Linked DNA regions of Coturnix japonica. The protein of the gene in region 1 interacts with the protein of each later gene in a pairwise test. Links are inferred from orthologs where the notes say so. Each region holds a gene or a part of one and is shown on either strand. Other genes may lie near its edges.

Region 1 (4,802 bases):
ACAAGCAGCAACATTTACCCACAGGTATCTGCTATACACAGTATCTTATGGCCCAGACCCAGCATTTCGCCCTCACCTCCGTACCTGCATGGCTTTCATCACATGGAGATTGGGCACATTCTTATCGACGAGCTCCGGGTGTTTCGGCATGTGGACGTCTTTCTTGGCCACCATCACTCCCTCCTTAAAGAGGAGCTCGTAGATGGCAATTCTGTTCTTCTTGGGCATCAACATCTAAAGGACAAACAGCACTAAATCCTGCCTATTCCCAATGAATCACAACTCCCGGCCCTTAGCGCCCCGCGGCCCACCCTGCCGGCCTAAGGCCTCCCGCGGCCTACTGCGGCCTACTGCCCCCCCAGGCCTTCCGCCTCGCCATCCCGGGCCCAGATCCCCCCGATCCCGGAAATATCGCCGCGGATGGGCCGGGCCTGATCTCCCCCGTTCTGTCCCGGTGCTGCCTCACGGCTCCGCCCGCGGATGGAGCCGATACAAGCCCGATCCGAGCCCGATGTAGGCCCGGAGCGCTGCCTCACCGTGACAGTCTCAGCGGGGCCGAGAGCGGAAAGGAACACGCATGCGCCGCGCTCTCACTTCCGGCCTCCCGAAGGCCCCCCCAAGCGCTGAGGGTGTCCACCGCGCTGCCTGTAGCAAGGTGCGCAAGGCCCCCAGTCAGGTCACCGAGAAAGGTGTCCGTAGTGATGCCTGATAGGAATTAGCCCTTTAACCTCAGCATCCCTGACATTAAATGGGCGCTGGGGCAGCCATGGAGCTCAGCTCCATCCCCTGCAGCTCCCACATGTGTCACACAGCAATGGGATTTACAGTGCTGATGGCTGGGATCATCCCCCGTGGATTAGCACAGGGCTCAGGCCATACTATGGGGCTGGTGGCACAGGGGGGACCAGGAGCCACAGAGCAGGGCTTGGCCATGGCTTCCTATTGCTATGAGTACAGCAGTCACCGTGCATTCACCCTGACAGCAGCCCATGGCCTTCCCTGGGTGCCCCCATGCAGCCTCATAATGGGGACGAGCAGCCTTTGTATTCATACACATGGAGGACAGGGGATGTTCCAGCAGGGCTTTCCCTGCTGCTCTGTGTGCTCACATTGAGCCCTGCTGCCATCAGCCCTTACTGCAGGCAGAGCCGTGAGGAGCTGGTCAGTCAGTGCTGCCCTTTGGAGCCGGGCTGTAAAGCTCTGGCTGGGATCCCAGGGAGCAAAATGAGTGTGTAAGTGAGTTCCACCCACGCTGCTCCCTGCAGAGCAAAGGGCTCGTGGTTCCAGCACAACGAGCTCCCAGCAGCTCCTTGTGCTGGGATCTGGGGCTCCAGCACACACAGCTCCGCTCACACCACGCTGCTCAGCACAACACTAACACTCTCTGATCCCACTGTGTTCCCTTGGTCCTGGATGGGGTTTGCTGAGGGCAGAGGCAGAGCAGGATGGCAGGACGCAGGCTGTGTCCCATACCCCACACAGCACCCAGCACTTAAGGCTGCTTGGAGGTCTCAGCACCCCAGGGGAGATGGGTGGAGGCTCCATTAGGTGCATCCCTCCATCAGACCAGGGGGCAACCTCAGGTCTGCCCACATCACACAGGGAGAAGGGAAGGAACAGGGGCTGTGAGCCATAGGATGGAGGAGAAGGAAAGAGCGTGGGGAGGTGTCAGCTCACAGCACAGTGTGCAATGAGGCTGAGGACCCCCCCGCAGCCACCCGAGCTTATTCTTCGCTGCTCCTGCGGTAACGTTTTCACCTTGTGCTGCGAAGGAGTCATTATGCCGAGCCGGGGTGGCGATTGGCTGGCTAAAAATGCCTCTGTAATCTCCGTGCTGATCTTTACCCCCTCCTCCCCATCTGCCGTGACCTTCCTCCCAATGTGCAGAACCAGCCCGAGTGAGACGGAGCCTCTGGGTTCCCAGCCATCACCCCGGCCACCCCCAGTGCCGCCCAGCATCCGCAGCCCAGCGCCCTCCCCGTGCCCTCCCATGGGCCCTGCAGCCTTTTGCCCAAGGTACCGACGCGTCCCCGGGGCTCCCGGCATGTTCTGGCTCCAGATGTTGGCAGTGGGGGGCTCCCGGTGGGCGGTGGGTGATGGGGATGGTGGTGGCCCTGCTGTATGGATGGGACGCTTGGTATCGGCGTGTTGCTGTGCACCCTGGTGGAGGTGTCAGCCCTGTAATGCTCCTGGACCTGGGAGGTGAGATTCTGGCATAGCAGCTCAGTGCTGCCTGGTTTATGACATTGCCAAACTTCTCTAGGACTGGGGATTGCTTACTATCTTGTGCCTGAGCTCGGGGGGCTGCTGTCAGGTGGGTCTCATCTGAGGTTCTGTGGCATCTCGTGGCTCGCCCCCGCTCTATACGTTATGCAAAAGCTGCATCAGCTCAATAACAGCCCCAGGAGTGCCCCAAGGCCAGGCTCACTCTGTCAGCTGGGGGCTGGCACCATTGTGCTGCTCCATGGAGAACCCGCAGAGCATCCCGCACCAGGAACGGGGTCCCTCCAGCTCCCCACAATGGATAAAAGAGGGCTGGGAGCCAAAAAGCCGCCCTGAACAGCCTGCAATTGTCAGGGCTGTCAGCGCTGAGCAAACGGAACGATTGTGCTCATCTTCCCTCTGCCTCCTTGCTGTGCGCTTGGCATCCTCTGACTTGCCCGGTGAGAAATTCAGGATCCTCAGCACTGGGTGCAAAGAATTGCTCCTTTAGAAGAACCAGGATGGGTCACCGATAGGACGAGGAGGGGAAAAGCAGACCCAGGGATGCAGCAATGACTGCAGGGGAGAAACGCATCTCCTGGCCCCACGCCCTGACCAGGATTGCTGCCCTTGTCCTTCCCATCCCGCTGCTCTGCACACATCTCCTCTCTGCCATTCTTGCTCCTTGCTCACAAACAGCCAAGCAAGCACTTTGCTAAACGGATTAGAGCTGTGCTCCTCCTGCAGCCTCCCCGAGCTGCTCCCGCTGGGTGCTGCATTGCCACAGATCACAGATATGGGACACAGCAGTTCCTGCACTATGGGCTGCCCCTGAGCTGTGGGGCACGGTGACCTTACACTGAGATGTGGCTCCTGCAGCTGGGGGCTCACAAGGCAACAAACAACCCCATGCAGCAGTTCTGGGTAGGCAGGACTATGGTGGCACTGCTGGTGGTGAGGATGTGTTGTATCCCCACTCCTCCTCAGCTCAGGGATGAGAGCTGGAAAAGGGAGAGGAGAGGCTTGGGAAGGAGATTAACGCTGCAAAGGGGAATTTATCAGTGGCTGAATGCCAGGGCTGCTGCTGACAGCACTGAGCCTGTTCTGGGTGCTCGCAGCCGTGTCCCCATCCCCTCCTGCCCCTCTTGGCCATCGCTGCCTCTTCCTGTGTGGGATGGATTTAACTAAAGGGATTGAGGAAAGGCAGCCCGGGTGGCTGCAGGAGCCTCACGTGCAGCTCTGCCCCATGGACAGACTTTGTCCCCGGTGGGGCAGCGAGCAGGGCAGTGCTTGTGCAACGGCATGAAGGCAAATAGAGGAGCCTTGGAGAAGGCACTTCCCCTATGGGGCACAGCAGCAGGGGGGAAAGGAGGCAGCGACCCCAACATTGCCATGGCTGTGAGCAATAGGGACACGCTGCTCCCAGCTGCTGCCCACAGCAGACCCCACACACAGGCATTTTCCCAATAAAAAGGAGCCTTTATGTCCCGGCCCCTGCCCCGGAAGGGGCTCACAGGCCGCCTTGGGGCTGGGTATGGGCAGACAAAAAGGGGATTGTTGTGGTGGGAGCTGGGCTGCTGGCAGCACCTGCCCCACGTCGGGGGCCCTTCACAATGACCGGCTTTCTGCATAACTGCTGCAGAGGGGCCAATTATCCTCCGATGCTAATTAGAGATGCAAAATAGCCTCGTGTTTGCATTCTCCCAGCAAGCCGGAGTGTTCCTGGGACCTGCAGCACATCTGTAGCTGATGCAGGGCACAAACATGGGGCTGCTGCACCAGCAGTGCAGTCAGGATGATTTGCTTCTCAGTTCACCGTGGTGCTCGAAGAATCTTAATTTCAGAGTGCCAAGAAGCCACATAAATCAAGGCTAATTTCCTGCCAATACTGCCCGCTGCTTCCCATGGGGAAACTCATTTTATTGAAGGGGGAAATGAGTTATTGCAGGAAATAGTGACCGCTGGGATGGTGCACAATGGGGGAGGGTTTGTCATGGCCTTGTTTGTGCCACAGCATCCAGCTGGCACTCACTGCAGGGCTCTGAACTGCAGGGCTCCATGTATCACAGGGTCACTGGAATCCCCCACCACCCCCCAGTGTTTAATGCCAAGAGCATTTGCTCCCCTGTGCCCAGATGCTGCCGGGGCTGAGGACCCTGAAATGGCAAAAAGCAAAGACCAAATGATGCTGCAGGAGCCTGAGCCCCCCCGCTCTGTGTTGGGGCAGCATTATTTCACCTGGGTCTCACGCTGCCTCCTCCCCTGCAGCCAGCACAGAGCCCTGAAATATTTCAGGACCTTTCTGGCTTGCTAAAGGTTGGAAGACGTGCTCAGATGGCACACAGACCCACCAAGCTTCATTAAGGAATGGAAGGCGCTCATTAGGGGAAAGCTGATCCAGGCTGAGCCTCATGGGAGCGGGTTGCATTCTGTGGGCAACCCGATCTGGGCAGCTGCAGCCCGACAAGCAGCCAGCCTCATTACTGCAGCTCCTGTGGGCGGCTTCGGTTACTCAGCCCGAGCCGTTCGTCTCCTGCCAGCTTTGAATTTCCCTGACATCACCCCGAGCTGGGGGAAAACGCAGGCAATGGGGAGTGGGA
Region 2 (4,927 bases), on another chromosome or scaffold:
TTTTTCCTAGAATTCATCCGCATTTCAGCACCATTCCTCTCTTCCCTTACAACAAATGCGAGCACCAACCCAGCACGTTACATCAAAGGATGTAAAGCAAAAAAAAAAAAAAAAAAGCTTATATATATATATATATTTATGCACAGCTGAGGCTTTGAAGGCAGCATGACCACTCACCATGCTGGCATATTGCTAGGTGGTCACACTGTGATGGAACAAGAAGTTAATTGTTTCTAAAATAACACGATTGCTGACAAGAGAACTTTTGTGTGTGACTTTCTTAAGTGAGAAGAGGCTGCAGATCCAATCTGAACGTTCGTACTTCAGTACTGAAGAGTTCTGCATGTTCACGTGGAAGGAGTGAAAGTGAAAATGAGAGCCAAAAGAGATGAGTTGGTGTGAAGGAGAAATGAAAGATGACAAGGCATAAGACATTACTCACACAATGCTGAAATAAACCTGATTACAATGGAGAACTCCTGGGCCTGAGCTGGATGGTTGGTCACCTGAGGTGACCGTGACAGTCTCTTTCAACCTTTAAGCTATTTTTATTCATAAGTTTGTTCAGCGAAAGAATGTTCCAATTCCAAAATAATTCTGTTTCTTCACCATCTTTGGAGACACCTGAGGCCAGCAGGTAGCTTGGTAGAAATAAGCACACAACTAAGCCAGCGGTGTTCCTTTACAGCAGAGCAGCAAGCAGCCTTCCAGCACATCTGACTGACATTTCCAACTCCATAAGATACCATTTGAATTTACAGAGGCAATTACTCATAACCAGCAAAGTCAGCCAATGCAAGGACAATAGGACAAAGCCAGTATTAGAAGGAGGCTGCAGATTGTTTCAGGGCGGTTTGAACGTCTCCATCCACAAGGACTGCAAAGTACTTCCTCCATGCCCTGGTACTACAGGCTCATGCTAATGTGAGGAATTACAACATCAATATTCCTCAGGTATAAAAGCATTCCGGTATTTGTATAACGGAGATGTTTGCTAGCAGACTATAAAAACTGTTTCCAGTCTTGCCCCCATCAGATGCACTTAAGTTCATTTAGCACAGGAAGCAAGACGTGCCTGTGCCAGAGCCACTCAATTACCATAACTGCTGTCTAGTCAGCTCCAAAGCCATCCGACTGGACCGCTGCTGCACGAAATTCCTGCCCAACTAAACAAGTGCCTTCAGACAATTCCCAAGGACCCACCTCTCATCTCTTTCCTTTAGAATCTGGAAAGGAAAGAGGAGAGACGAGACATCCTTCAGGTAAAGGAGTCAAAATCAAAACCAGATGACAGCAACACCGTGCTCAGAGCTGAGCCCAAATGGCTCAGCCAGCTAAAGTCAGCATCGGAAGGGGACAGCCAGCCCCAAGAGCAAGCTGCAGGCCACAAAAGGACTCTTGGAAAATACATATAGTATAGGTAAATGAACAGCAAAAAAAAAAGCCACTAAGCTACAGGTGTCAAGCTCATAAAAGCACTGTCCCATGTAATAACATCAGCAAAGAGAATCTCAACGCAGAGCAAAACCAACAGGCCCAAGCTGCAGCACCATGCTCCAGACACCACACACCTTACACAGCCGCTTCTGCGATGGGCAGGTGAGGGAAGTGAGGCCACGCACACCCCGAACAACATGCAACGAGCAAGAGCCTTCAGTTTCAGCATCAAGAACTCACTCCGTGTTTGGGCAGCAGCGAGTCACTCCTTACCATTTTTTGGTGCACTCCACCATCAGCTCCTGGTAGGAGGCCACAAACTGGAACTTGGACGCATGTTTCCCAACACGCTGCAGTCTTTTCCAAACTGAAGCCATGACTGCGAGGAACACCACTGGTCCTGTGGCACAGTCGCAAGAACACCCACGTATGCGTAAGAGCGCGTGCTCAGTACTAGCAGGTTTATATACAGATGCAGGAAAAACAATGAACAAGAAGCTCGAGAGGATGTCTACAACTCATATTTCGCCCCTCTTTTCTTCACAGTAGAGATCCCAGTGCGGCTGAATGGCTCATCACCGTCCAGGAGCAGCAGGCAATAGGGGCTGCAAGTGAGCAAAAGAGGCGAGGAAGTTCTCTCACGGAACCATGAGCATCCCTCACACGGCGGACGGCGTGGAGACTGCAGGACTGGGAGACAAAAAGGCCGTGGAAGATGCAGGTTAGTGGGCGGCACGCTGCCATCGCTCCCAGCCCGGAACCCTCCGCACAAGGACCGCGAGCCGCACCGCCAGAGCCCGTCCCGTCACCCCGAACGAATACACGGATTTATACGGCTGCAGCAATTCTAGAAATGCGAACCGCGAGCCCGTTTGGAGGCGTATCGACGCGTCCTTTTAGCGGCACCGGCACCGCCGGCAGCAGCGACCGGCGGGGCAGCGGGGTCCGGCGGCACCCCTGGAAGCGGGGCGGGATGCGGGGAGCCGCTTTTCTTTGTCTCCGCGGCGCTGACAAAAGCCGTGCCGGCTGCCCCCCATCACACACGCACCCCACGCCTCGTGCCGGGCAGAAGGAGCGGGACAGAGGGGAGCGCTACCGCGGGACCGCCGGCTCGGGGCACGATGAGGGACGGCAGGGCATGGCATGGCAGGGCATGGCATGGCAGGGCAGGGCAGGGCGGCCCCGGCTGCCCCGCAGGCCGCCGTCCGACCCGGGCCGGAGGAGGCGGCGGCGGGCTCCGGAGCCCGGCGGGAGGGCGGCGCGGGGCGCTGAGCTGCAGCCCAACGGGGCTTCCCCGCCACCCCGCGCCCGGCCGCCGTCAGCCCCGCGTCCCCCGCAGCCCCGGGCGTTAAGGACGAACACGCCGCCGGGGAGGAGGGAGCGAGGGGCGGCGGGGCTGGGGCGGCAGGGAAGGCCCGGGGCGGCTCCCGCGGGCGCGGCGCTCACCTGCAGCCGCTCTCACGGCGTTCCCCGGGGCGGGCGCTGGCACTGCGCGGCGAGCCGAGAGGCGGCCCCGACACCGACACCGCCCATCGCCTTGGCGGCGCCCCGCGGCCGTTCCCCCGCGTTCCCGTGGCCGCACAGCCCCGCCGGCCGGGCAGCCCGCGCGGGTCCCGCCGCGCCTCACGCCGCCACCATCGCCCTCCTGCCGGCAACGCGCAGCGTCTCGCCCCGGCCCGGCCCGACCCACCGCCCCCCGGCCGGGCGCGGCCCGCCCCCCGCCGTCCCATTGGCTGAGCCGCGCGCCCCGCACCTCCCATTGGCCGCCGCTCCGCGTCAATCACCCGCGGCCGGAGGGGCGATCCTGCAGCGGGCAGAGCCGAGCGCTGAGGGAAGGCGGCGCTCGCGAGCCCTCCGCTCCTCAGCTCCCACTACGGCCCATCTCCGTCCCGATTGGCCGCGGTACCCGAGGAGGCGGGGTCGCGCGTTAGGAAAAGCCTCGCGATAGGCGAGCTCGGTCGCCCGTCAGCGCGACAACGTGCGGCGATTGGCTGTAGAGCTTCCTACAGCGGCAAGGTGGGCGCGGCGGGAGGAGCGGGCTGTCAGGGAGGGGCGGGGCCGCGTGGCGGCGGGACGCGGTGCGGGCGGGGCTGCGCTCATGGCCGGTCGGGGATCCGGCCTCGTCGGCTTGGCACGTGTGTGGGGGATTTGCTGCCCAGCTCCGCACGCGGAGCTTGACGTGAGCCCCGTTTTTCTTTGAAGCGCCGATCTGCTGCCCGGCATTGGGGAAACGAGGCCGGCCGTGCAGCATCGACATCATGTGCCTCCATCCGAGCGGGCGGCTCGCGTGCTGTGTGAGGCGGGAGTCGGGTTCCAGCCGTTATCGGGATCCGGTTCCTCAGCGCTCCACTTCGAGTTACCGCTGTCAGTCCCAGGTCCACGATGTGCTCAGGGCGGCTCTGACAGCGATATTCCTGCCGAGCCCGCTGTGTTCCTCGCCTCAATGAAGCCGTGGGGGTGTATCTATGCATGTCCTCACCCTCCACACCTGGGCACGGCGCGGGATGCTGAGAGCTGCATCACACCTCGCCATCAGAGTGACTGAGGGCGGGTTGTTCACCAGGACATAAATGGCCTTTGCTAGAAATAGCCATCCTTATAAATCTGCTTCCCCGGTACACGAGCCTGCGGAAATGTCACCGAGGTAATTGACTAATTGGATTATGTCACATTTACAAGAGCACTCAGCTTTGTGAGGCAGTGGGCTGTGCCTTCACCTGCTACATCTGAAACGCCCTCATCTCTCTGGATCCCTTCAGAAGTTTGATCCCACCTTTACATAGTGGAGAATTCACACGGGCTTCCTCAAATCTGAGCAAAGCGCCATCCTCCAGTCCTGAACATGGTGCCCTGCTGTGCTCTGCCCAGAAGGGGTGCCCCAAAAGCCCATTTCCTGATGGCAGCTTCACGTCTCAGCCTTTGCAAACGGCTTCACTGCACCATCCCGGAAGTGCTGGGCGCTCCTGCCCAGACCAAAGTCCTGTAGGTAAAGACAAGAGCCTGGTTCCAAAAGGGAGGATGAAAAACATCCTCACCTGTAATTCCTTTATCCCACCTCTACCTGGCTGAAATTCTTCCTGAGCCACTCAGCAGTAAAAGAGACGTCATATTTATCTACAGACGAGGTCAAGGACTGGAGTCACATTCCTGAAATGCAGAAGCCACGTTGCAGCAGTTCAGCCCTTGGAGCCGAGATGAAAGATGGGGTGTTGGTGGTGGAGACCTGCACACTGCAGACAGCATTGCCTTATTGTGCCTCACAAAACACTGGGTTAGAACTAATTTCTTCAAGGAACGTTTTCCAGAGTTATTTCCAGTCAGTCTGATGTTGGTTAGCTTGCAAGTGGGCTGAGCAAGTTAACGAGTTTTATCATCCAGCTTTTGGTATCCTTTAGAATTGTACCCTCATTGGGCCATTTCTCCCTTTAAAAAAAAAAAAAAAAAGAAAAAAGAAAAAAAAAAGAAAAAAAAAAGAAAAGGAAAGGAAAGA
Region 3 (4,700 bases), on another chromosome or scaffold:
GGTGCCAAGGAGCCTGTGCACCAAAGGCGAGTTCTTACATTGCATTGCAGTGCATGCTCCACAAATCCCCTTAGGCTCTTCCATCATAGGAGTGAACGGTTTTGGACATGGGCAATCTGTGTTACTGCTCCTGGAACTCTGGAGCAGTGTTGAGATGGTGATTTCAGGGATTGATGACAGTCATTCACTGTGCTGTATAAAATAAAGCAAATGTAATAAGCAGATACTATTTTGTTGTTCACTGCTGGGTTGTGGCAGCCTTTATATACTCTAAGAATGTTGTATTATAGGAATTGAAGAGAAAATACTATCAAACAGAAAACATTTAGGCATTGCTGCTAGGGAATAAACTAATGTGAAACAGTGAAGCTATTGGGAAAGGGTGAGAGAAACTGGAACAGGACTGCAGGCGGTGAAGAAGATGGTCAGAGCCCTGCTCTGCAGGACAGCCACAAGGACGTCACACCTTCCTTCAGGTGTAGCACAACACAGTGAGATGCAGGAAGTTCTTGCAGGTTCCTGGAGCAGAACAGCAAAGTTTGCTCTTGAGGTGGGAACATCTTTGGGGTTTGGTAGAGGTTTTGTGTTTGTGCAGCTTTAGCATGTGTTCTAGGGTAAAAATTTAGATTTAGGATTAAAAAGGGGGGGATTAAAAATGTACCAAACGCATGACATACAGTGCTATGAAATTGAGACCCTGTGGTTAAATAGAATCATAGAATCACTGAATGGTTTGAGTTGGAAAGGATCTCAGATCCTCCCAGCCCCAACCCACTGCCATAGGTAGGGCTGCCACCTACTACATCAGGCTGCTCAGGGCTCCATCCAACCAAGGATGGGACATGCACAGCTTCTCTGCGATCACCATTCATTTCTGGTAGTTCTGGTAAGTGAGACTGAATCTGAGAGACCAGTTCCCTTGCAAAATAATGTATGCAAGCCAGCCTGTTTATTCTCATAGGGGTACAAGTGGCTCATTACCATGACACGTGTTTCAAATGACCAGAGACAATTACTGAGCTGTGGTGACTCAGTGAACTTTTACCCATGTTAACAGGGATCCGTAATGCTTTGCTTCTGCAGAATATTGTTTTCATGGCCAGCTGCCTCCCTCAGCATCAAGCCCTCTCTGTATGACAGGGATGGGAAGGAAGAAATAGAAAGCAGTGCTCTCAACTTCTGCTGATCTGCCAGGACCTGAGGAGAATCCTCACACTGTCAAAGGGAGATGGCCAAGGCAGCTCCCCTACCCTCAGCTCTGTGATGGGGTTTCACCCCACTTAGCCTTCCCATTCTGTGCTTTGGCGGTGGCCTGGCCCTTCTGCCACCACAACCCGGAACACAAGGTGAAGCGAACAGAGAGGCTTGGAAGAGAAGCAGAGGAACTCCTGAAATGCCTGCGAGGGGCCAGGGTGCCCAAAGCGAGGCACGTCGGAGAATGAGCACATCCTCCAGTAATATAAGCCCAAGCTAGCTTTCCTTACACGCACAGTGTAACAGTTGCTGTGCCGGGGGACGTGCAGCGCTTCTGACACCGTTGAGACTTTAAGGCACCGCCGACCACGCGGGTTGAGGAGACGGCGAGGGTCCGCCGGGACACCCCGCCGAAGCCTCCATCTCCCGCTGGTGCCCGCACGGTGCGTGGGCGGCGGGGGCGGCCGTGTTTGTGTTTGTCCCGAGCGCTCACATGGAAACGGCTCCGCGTGCGCCCTCGCCCCCGCACGGGCCGGTGAGAGGAGAGCGGGCAGCTGCGGAGCCACCCGCCGCTCCCTCCCCGAGTGCCCGCAGGTAGGAGGGCCTGGCCGACCAGTCACGGCTCGGGCGGCGCGTCCGTGCCGGCCCTGCAGGCGGCCGTCGTTCTCCTTCCCTCCCTCCTTCTCAACGGGCTCCCGCCCCAAGCCGGGAGTGCCGCCCGCCGCGGAGCGGGGAGCGGTAACTTTGCCCTTTCCCCGCCCCGCCAGCGGCTGCGGGAGCGCGGCCGGGCCGGGGGAAAAGCTTTCGGGTGTGGGGAGACAGTGCTCATAGCTGCCCTCTGCTTCCTTCTCCTCTTCGACCTTCGCTTCTCCTGGCGCCGGGACCCTTCAGAACGCCCATGGAGACCCTCGTCCGCCCCACGGCCGGCAAGCCGCCCACCGGGTAAGTCACCCCCGAGCCCCGGCTTCGGTCTCCGAGCGGCCGTCTTCACTGCCGGCAGGTGCCGGGGCCCCGCCGTGCAGCCCGGCCCGGGCACGGGGCGAGGGAGTGGGGCGGCGCTGGGGCCGGGGTGCGGGCTTAGGGCCGCTGGGCCGAGCGGGCGGCCCGAATGGCTGGAGGGAGTGGGAGAGGGTTTGCAGCGGGGCGGGTCGGGGGGTCGACCGGTGGTGAGATCGCTTTGATCGGAGTGGGAGCAAGGCGGGTTTGAGGCTGTGCTGAACGCTCGGTGCAGTTTACTGCTCTGCTTCATGCTGCCCGCTCGCATTGAGGAGGACTGTGGTTGGTTCTGAAGTTTTTTATTTATTTGAAGTTCCATTATTCGTGTCATAAATTCAGTTAAATAAAAAGCAGCGTTAAAGTACGTGCTTGAGGGCTTTTCGTTTTTTAATCTTTGGTTTCCATCGTTTCTTTATTTGATGGGAAGTCTTGTAGTGAGTGACTCAAAATTAGAACAGGGGGCAGTGGGTGAAGAGAAGATGCCAAGATGCTGCAGTAATAGAACTGTGTGTAATGTTTCTTGGACTTGGGAAGTAAGGCTGCTGGCTTCCTCTGTGAGCACTTTGAAGAATAAGAAGCACTCCTCTCTCTGTAATGCTCATTAAAATCTTGTCCTGTTTGCTGGGTATCCAGAGTTTTGTTAGAGTCTGGAATGAAAAAAAACTGCTTGTTTCTGCGTCTCGGAGCTCAGCAATATACTGAATAGAACTCACAGACAGCTAGTTTTGTCTCTGTGAGTGTGGAGCTGGTTCCATGAGCAGATGGTTACTACGTGGATGGCCAGAAGTTGCTGTAAGTGCATTAACTTCGGTTGAAGAACTCCCAGCGTAGCCCAAGGAGCAGAGCCTGTCCTAAGGTTACACTACACTTGGGATATTGCGCAACGATATGCTGGTGGCAAAGCTGTTGTGTACTCAGCGGTAGTCTGCCCTAACTGAGTCTTTTTTAAGTGCTGAAGTGCTCCTGCTTTCCTTGGAAGCTGTAGAATCTCAGCCTGGATGTGCCCATGCTGTCGGCTGCGGATTTCACTGAGCAATACGTAATTCTCTGAATTTCCAGCATCAGTACTGGAAATCAATGGATGTTTGCTCCCTAATTAGGTTTTATTTGTTCCGTGAGGAAATTGGCCAGGAAAGCATTGCAAGAGGATAGCTTCTTCTGTCCTTGTCACTTCCCGCAGGGATCCAGATGTCAGCAGCATCTGTGGAACTTGTCTGGGAACATGGATTTTTAGATGACTGTGGCAGAACTGTGTTCCTTTTGCAGCGGAAGATCTGTGCTACACGTTCCCAGCTTGTTGATTGAGTTAGCAGGCAGTTCTGAAAGTAAGGGGTTAAAATGATCCCAGCTTTATAATTTTTAACAAAATTTAGGCAGAGCTGTTTTGTCTCTATGTAAATCATTAACAGTAATGTTGAGGGTTTTCCTTGTTAAACAGTGTGCTGATTTAATGTATCGTGCAGTAGAGTCCAGCAGCTCCGCTGTGTGCTCTGCACGGATAAACTGGCTGCATGTGTTCATGGCGCAGCTGCTGGGAATTGCACATTTAAAAGTAGGATGCTGATGGGTTTTTGTTTGTTTGCTTTTGTCTTAAATGGCGAAGGAAAAGATGCTGTTTGTGTTGTTGCTGCAGGGTTTTTCCTGTTGCTCTGTTTCAAGAATAACTGTGGACATCAGTCCGAAGAATCTTACTAACGCTAATGGCTAGAAGCTTTATTAAGTCCATAATGCCATGCTTAATTAACATTTATTTTAGGTTATGAATGTGAATTTAAGACACTGAATATGTTTAGGTTAGATATTAGGAGGAAGTTTTTCACTCAGAGGGTGGTGACGCACTGGAACAGGTTGCCCGAGGTGGTTGTGATGCCCCATCCCTGGAGGCATTCAAGGCCAGGCTGGATGTGGCTCTGGGCAGCCTGATCTGGTGGTTGGCAACCCTGCACATAGCAGGGGAGTTGGAACTAGATGATCTTTGAGGTCCTTTTCAACGCAGGCCATTCTATGAATTTATGATTCTACAAATACCAGTACATGGGATTTGCTCTGTAGTGTTGCAATGGGAGCATGACTGGAAGAGGGAAAAAACAGTTGTTGAAAACCTACTGCTTTGGTGTGTGCAGCTGCATTTATTTTGGTGGGGAGAACAGAGAAGAGGCCCCTGAATCTCCTGAATGTCCAACTGGTGACTTTATTGACTGTAGCAAGAAAAAAATGGCATCCATTGATCGTAAGTGACTTAGAGAACTCAACCCTAAAATAGGGACATGCAGGATCAGCTCTTGCATAGGACAGAGCTTTATCCTCTGTGAGTGCAAGCATTGTTGTCTCCCACTTGAGCCCACGGCATATGGGTGCTTCTTTGTGCTGCGATGCTGAGCACAGGGGCTTCCCCTGAAACCTTCAGCATAGGTGGGTGAAATGCCTACATAAAAAGGTGCCCATACAACTTTTTTAGTGTAGGACCTTTACTACTTGTACTGCAAACTCCTTCCCCGTCTCACAGGATC
Region 4 (4,722 bases), on another chromosome or scaffold:
TTGTCTTAAAATGCCTTGTCTTACAATGCCTGCAGACCTAGATCCATAATAGGGCTGTGATAGAATGGCTTAGGTTGGACAGGACCTTAAAGATAATCTAGTTCTACTCCCATACACTGGTCAGGGTTACCAGCTGCTGGGTTATGATCCCCAGGATCCCACCCAGCCCTGAGTGCCTTCAATTGGCATCCCCAACTTCTAACCAACCTGTTCCAGCATCTCCCTGCCTTATGAATGAAATATTTCTCCTTAACACATAACCTGAAGCATCGTGATGGTTTCAAACCCTTCTCTCCCTCATCTGAGGCTTCCCCAGCCTTGCTATAGTACCCCCTCCCTTGCAGCTGCCCTGTGTCTGGGTGCAGGGGTTTCAAGGATGTCAGTGCTCCTTGCCCTGCCTGGTGCTGGGCCCTCCCATGTTCCCCCCCCCCGGGCTGTAACTGCAGAGGTAACCCAATGCCAGTGTGTGTGTCCCCCCCCCCGTGTCGTGCTGTGGGCCAGCAGCAGTGAGACAAGGTACAGACAGGGCTGGTGTTGAGCTGGACCCGTAGCAGCAGCAGAAAAGCCTTCAAAGCTGCCCTCTGCAACAGCCACATCCCTACAGCCTGACCCCAGCGGGCAGATGAGGCTTTAAGGCTCAACCCAGGTACCACGGGACTGCTATGAAGAGCCTGAAGGCCAAGTTCAGGAAGGCAGATGTAAGTGCTGTCCCCAAGGACATAGGGATGTGTCCTGGGTTGTCCACAGGGATGTGGGGATCTGCCCTGGGGTGTCAGTGGGTTTCGTGGGGGTATGGGGACACAGAGATCTGCCCTGGGATGTCCCATGGGGACATGGGCACCTGCCCAGTGACCCAGCTTCCACTGGGATCATAGTTGTGAGCAGGGCAGAATAAAGGAAGGGAAAGCAGCACCGAGGAGAGGTGAATGTGTCCCAGATCCTGTACCCATTTCTGTCCTATGGGATGCAGGGATGGCTGCCAGCTTTCCAGCCACAGCAACCAGATTGGGTTCCCACTTTGAAGCCAGCAAGTCAATGCTCCTTAATTATTCAGCACCAGACTGGCACAATGCTGCATATTCCTGCTGTTCTCCAGGCTGGGAAGAAGGTGACAGTGCCGTCCCCACTGCCTATGGCAGCACCAGGGGGATGTGTAGGTGGAGGAGCCTGTGCATTTTGGGGTTCCCTCCTTGCAGGGGGTCACTGGTCCCCTAAGATTCAGGTGGGGGGATCCTGTGTCCCTCTTAGCCCCAGAGCGATGGGAGATCAGTTTCTGTCCCTCAGGGCAGGGTTGAGGTCCTACATCCTTCCTCCTCCTTGGGGAGCTGCTTGCAGGCAGTAGGAGGATGTTTGTCCCTATAGTTTGGGGATGCATCCTTTCCTCTTCTCGGGCACAGGGGTGAGAGAGCTACTCCTCCCCCCTCCACACACACACCCTCCCACTCTAATTGGGACCAGACTTGGTGCTTGGTGGGACCTCAGCACCCGCTCCGAGTCAGGGATGCAGGGATGCAGGGATGCAGGGATGTAGGGATGTAGGGATGTAGGGATGCAGGGATGTAGGGATGCAGGGATGTAGGGATGCAGGGATGTAGGGATGTAAGGCCGATGATAGGGAATGTAGGGATGTAGGGATGTAGGGATGCAGGGATGTAGGGATGCTGAAGCTCTGGGCTCCGAGGAGGGAGGGAAGGAAGGAGGGACGAAGGGACGGCAGGAGGCGGATCCCGGTTGTCACTGCGGCAGGACTCGGCCCCCGCCCCGGTGGCGGTACCGGACCGACCCGTGGTCTGGGGTCCTTAACCTGGAGCCCCGACCAGCCCAAGCTCAGGCAGAGAGGCAAGGGATGCATGGCTGCCCGCCGCCTCCTCCTCAACACCATGAAGCAGATCTGCCTCTGTGCCGCTGCATCCTTTGCGGTACGTCCCTCCATCCCCGCTCCCCTTCAGTCCTGCACATGGGGTAAGCTGTCACCCCCAACCCCCGTCCGGACCCCCTCTATTCCCAACCCTGTCCCCTGGGCTCTGCTGTATCCTCCCCGAGTTGCTTTGTCCTTGCAAGACAAAGGGGTGGGGGTGAGCATCACGCTCCCAGTTTGCCCAGTAACCCTGGGAGTCTGTTTTATTCCACACCCCACATCAGGGTCCCCTGGCCCTATATAGGACAGGTGCTGTGGCACAGGGATTCTGTCTAGCGCTGGGCATCAGCTGGTGAGGGGCAGGATGTGAGCTGTTCCCAGAGGTCACATCCATTTCCCAGCCGCAGCCAAGCTCTGGTTTGTTGTCCCAGGCTGTGGGGTGAGCCCCAGCTCCTGCTCTGCTGTGGGTCATTCCCTGAGGAAGGGATGTGTGGGGCCAATGGGCCAGCAAACCCTCACCTAGCCCCAGTTCTGCTCAGGAGCATCGTACCCAACACTGGGCTGCAGTCATCCCCAGGGACCTGAGCTCACTGTCAGCTCTGCTTGCCCTGACTTCACCCCTTCCTTGGAAAGGAGAAAAACAAGGCTGAAAATGGAGAGACCCAAGCAGGGATAGGGCTCAGGAACCCCTGTGTGCTGCCTATGGATAGCATCAGGGTCACTTGGGTGGCAGGAACAAACCCTGGGTGGGGGGCAATCAGGGAGCATCCAAGACCTTGGAACATTCAGAGCTAAACTGGGGCAGCTCTGCTACTTCCCCCATCTGTGAACTGCAAACAGGTTGGGGGATGAAGGGGAACCTCATTCAAATCAGATCTCCTAGATAAACCCTTCATGCAGCACAGCAGACACAGCAGCAGCTGGGAAAGTGCACCTAAGGGATAGAGTTGGGTGGGATAGAAGGGGAGGGGATGAGGATTAGTAACTGTGTCTAGTCCAACATCCTACTTGCCCCTGATGATAGCACAAGGATCACAGCCTCACGTTGGCTTCATTGCAGAGTCAGGACTGGACCAAGAACGATGAGAAGCTCTTGCAAGCTGTGGACTACAATGATGCTGGAAAGGTGGCATCCCTCCTCGTCCGCAAGGGTCTGGTCCCCACCAAGCTGGATTCAGAGGGCAAATCTGCGTAAGTGCTGGCCTGTGTCACCAGGGATACAGGGCTGTGATGGGGCTCAGGTGAGAGAGATGGGTCTGACAGCTCTGGGTCTTGCTGCAGGTTTCATCTGGCTGCCACCCGGGGGAATGTGGATTGCCTTGAAGCCATGCTGGCTCACGGTGTGGATGCCATGACCAAAGACAGCTCAGGTGAGGGCATGGCAACCATATACCCCTTTCTAATGCTGTGGTAGCCCTGCTCAGCCCAGCGGGTCCTGCTGTCCCATCTGTCCCCCTTGTGCTATCAACCCACTGTCTGTCCTCTGACCTGTCTGTCTGTCCCTCTCTGCAGGTTACACTGCCTTGCACCTGGCATCCAAGCACGGACACCCACAGTGTGTGAGCAAGCTGCTGCAGGTACTGGGGTTGGGAGGGAGGGTGTTGTACCTGGTGTCACACCACACTAAGCCCAGCACCTTAAGGGCAGCCCCAGCAAGGTGCCCTCTATCCCTGTTCTCCCTTCCCTCAGTGCTGGTGCTGGTTGGCATGATGGTTCCTGGCTCTATCTGGCACTGTTTGATTTGGGGCAGCCTTATAGCCCTATAGTAGCCACATGTAGCTTGCAGAGTCTATCTGTTCCCCACCCTGCTGTAACCCAGGCTCCCTCCCTTTCAGGCTTCCTGCCCTGTGGATGTAGCTGACAGCAATGGACAGACAGCACTTCACCACGCAGGTGAGTGAGGACAGTGCTAAACCCATCCTGCCCACATCCCCACATCAGGCAATGCTCACCTTCTGTCCTCCACAGCAATCAGTGGCTGCATATCGTGCTCAGAGATCCTCTGCGATTACAAAGCTCCCCTGAACATTAAGGACAAGGTGAGATCCTTCTGCTTCTCACCCTACAGAGCAGCAAAGATCCATGCTGGCTTTGAAATGCAGCTGCTTCTTGGGGTGTAATGGAGCAGCTGGCAGCACTTGGGGTCTCCAAAGCACTGCTATGAGAACACCCCAAAAGCAGGATGTGGAAATCAAGCAGCAGGGTGCCCTGAGATGGGGGATCTAAGCAGCATCCCCAGCTCACCCAATTTCTCTCTGCTTAGAATGGCTGCACACCATTGATCCTTGCTGCAAAGATGAGCCACTCAGAGCTCTGTCAGTACCTGCTGCACCACGGAGCAGCCATCAACAGCCGGGACCTGCAGGGGAAGTGAGTCTTTGCTGGTGGGAATTGGGGGCATATGGGGAGATGGATGGTCCTCTCACTTCTGCTCCCACCCCTCTGCTCAGGACAGCCCTGATGTTGGCCTGTGAGAATGGCAGCGTGGAGACAGTGGAGGTGCTCATCAATGCTGGTGCACGGGTGGCCTTGGTGGACTCGATGGGTCACGATGCTGCACACTACGGCCTGTCCACGGGCAATGCTCTCATCCAGCACTTCTTGCAAGAGGCTGCTCAGCGCCAGTCCTGGGCCAGTGGTAAGTGAGCACCCCAGTCTGGCTCTACATCCCATGCCCACCTCCATGATCCCCAAAACCTCCTTGATTTCTCTTTCCTCCCACTTTGCCCCACAGAAGAGGAATCATCTGAGCAGATGTCCCAGGTGAGGGTTGCCAAGCCTGACTCTTACCAGGATTGGAGGCACCTCAACCTCTGGGTGGGGGGCATTGGGGGGGCATTGGGAGTCCTCATGCTCTCCATGGT

The links. The genes of interacting proteins can lie anywhere in the genome.
Region 2: the proteins of PACSIN1 (region 1) and EHBP1 interact in a two-hybrid assay, tested with the Homo sapiens proteins (2 studies listed by BioGRID and IntAct). The link is inferred for Coturnix japonica from reciprocal best matches to the Homo sapiens genes PACSIN1 and EHBP1.
Region 3: the proteins of PACSIN1 (region 1) and COBL interact in binary tests that used the Homo sapiens proteins (3 or more experiments, as listed by UniProt). The link is inferred for Coturnix japonica from reciprocal best matches to the Homo sapiens genes PACSIN1 and COBL.
Region 4: the proteins of PACSIN1 (region 1) and ANKRD24 interact in a two-hybrid assay, tested with the Homo sapiens proteins (2 studies listed by BioGRID and IntAct). The link is inferred for Coturnix japonica from reciprocal best matches to the Homo sapiens genes PACSIN1 and ANKRD24.

The regions. Positions count from the first base shown.
Region 1 is NC_029541.1:4,230,328-4,235,129, reverse strand, and holds the start of PACSIN1 (protein kinase C and casein kinase substrate in neurons protein 1), read left to right. Parts: upstream 1-1,877; 5' UTR 1,878-2,016; intron 2,017-4,802. Other genes in the region: RPS10 (40S ribosomal protein S10), read right to left, coding at 85-234. UniProt on the Homo sapiens protein: Plays a role in the reorganization of the microtubule cytoskeleton via its interaction with MAPT; this decreases microtubule stability and inhibits MAPT-induced microtubule polymerization.
Region 2 is NC_029518.1:2,281,539-2,286,465, forward strand, and holds the start of EHBP1 (EH domain-binding protein 1), read right to left. Parts: upstream 3,029-4,927; 5' UTR 2,884-3,028; intron 2,128-2,883; 5' UTR 1,815-2,127; coding exon 1,711-1,814; intron 1,652-1,710; exon of another isoform or gene 1,637-1,651; coding exon of another isoform or gene 1,572-1,636; intron 1-1,571. UniProt on the Homo sapiens protein: May play a role in actin reorganization. Links clathrin-mediated endocytosis to the actin cytoskeleton. May act as Rab effector protein and play a role in vesicle trafficking.
Region 3 is NC_029517.1:49,563,086-49,567,785, forward strand, and holds the start of COBL (protein cordon-bleu), read left to right. Parts: upstream 1-1,672; 5' UTR 1,673-1,687; coding exon 1,688-1,788; intron 1,789-2,085; coding exon 2,086-2,136; intron 2,137-4,700.
Region 4 is NC_029543.1:1,706,687-1,711,408, reverse strand, and holds the start of ANKRD24 (ankyrin repeat domain-containing protein 24), read left to right. Parts: upstream 1-1,694; 5' UTR 1,695-1,850; coding exon 1,851-1,919; exon of another isoform or gene 1,920-1,962; intron 1,963-2,918; coding exon 2,919-3,049; intron 3,050-3,139; coding exon 3,140-3,228; intron 3,229-3,370; coding exon 3,371-3,435; intron 3,436-3,693; coding exon 3,694-3,751; intron 3,752-3,826; coding exon 3,827-3,897; intron 3,898-4,121; coding exon 4,122-4,228; intron 4,229-4,308; coding exon 4,309-4,496; intron 4,497-4,592; coding exon 4,593-4,621; intron 4,622-4,722. UniProt on the Homo sapiens protein: Component of the stereocilia rootlet in hair cells of inner ear.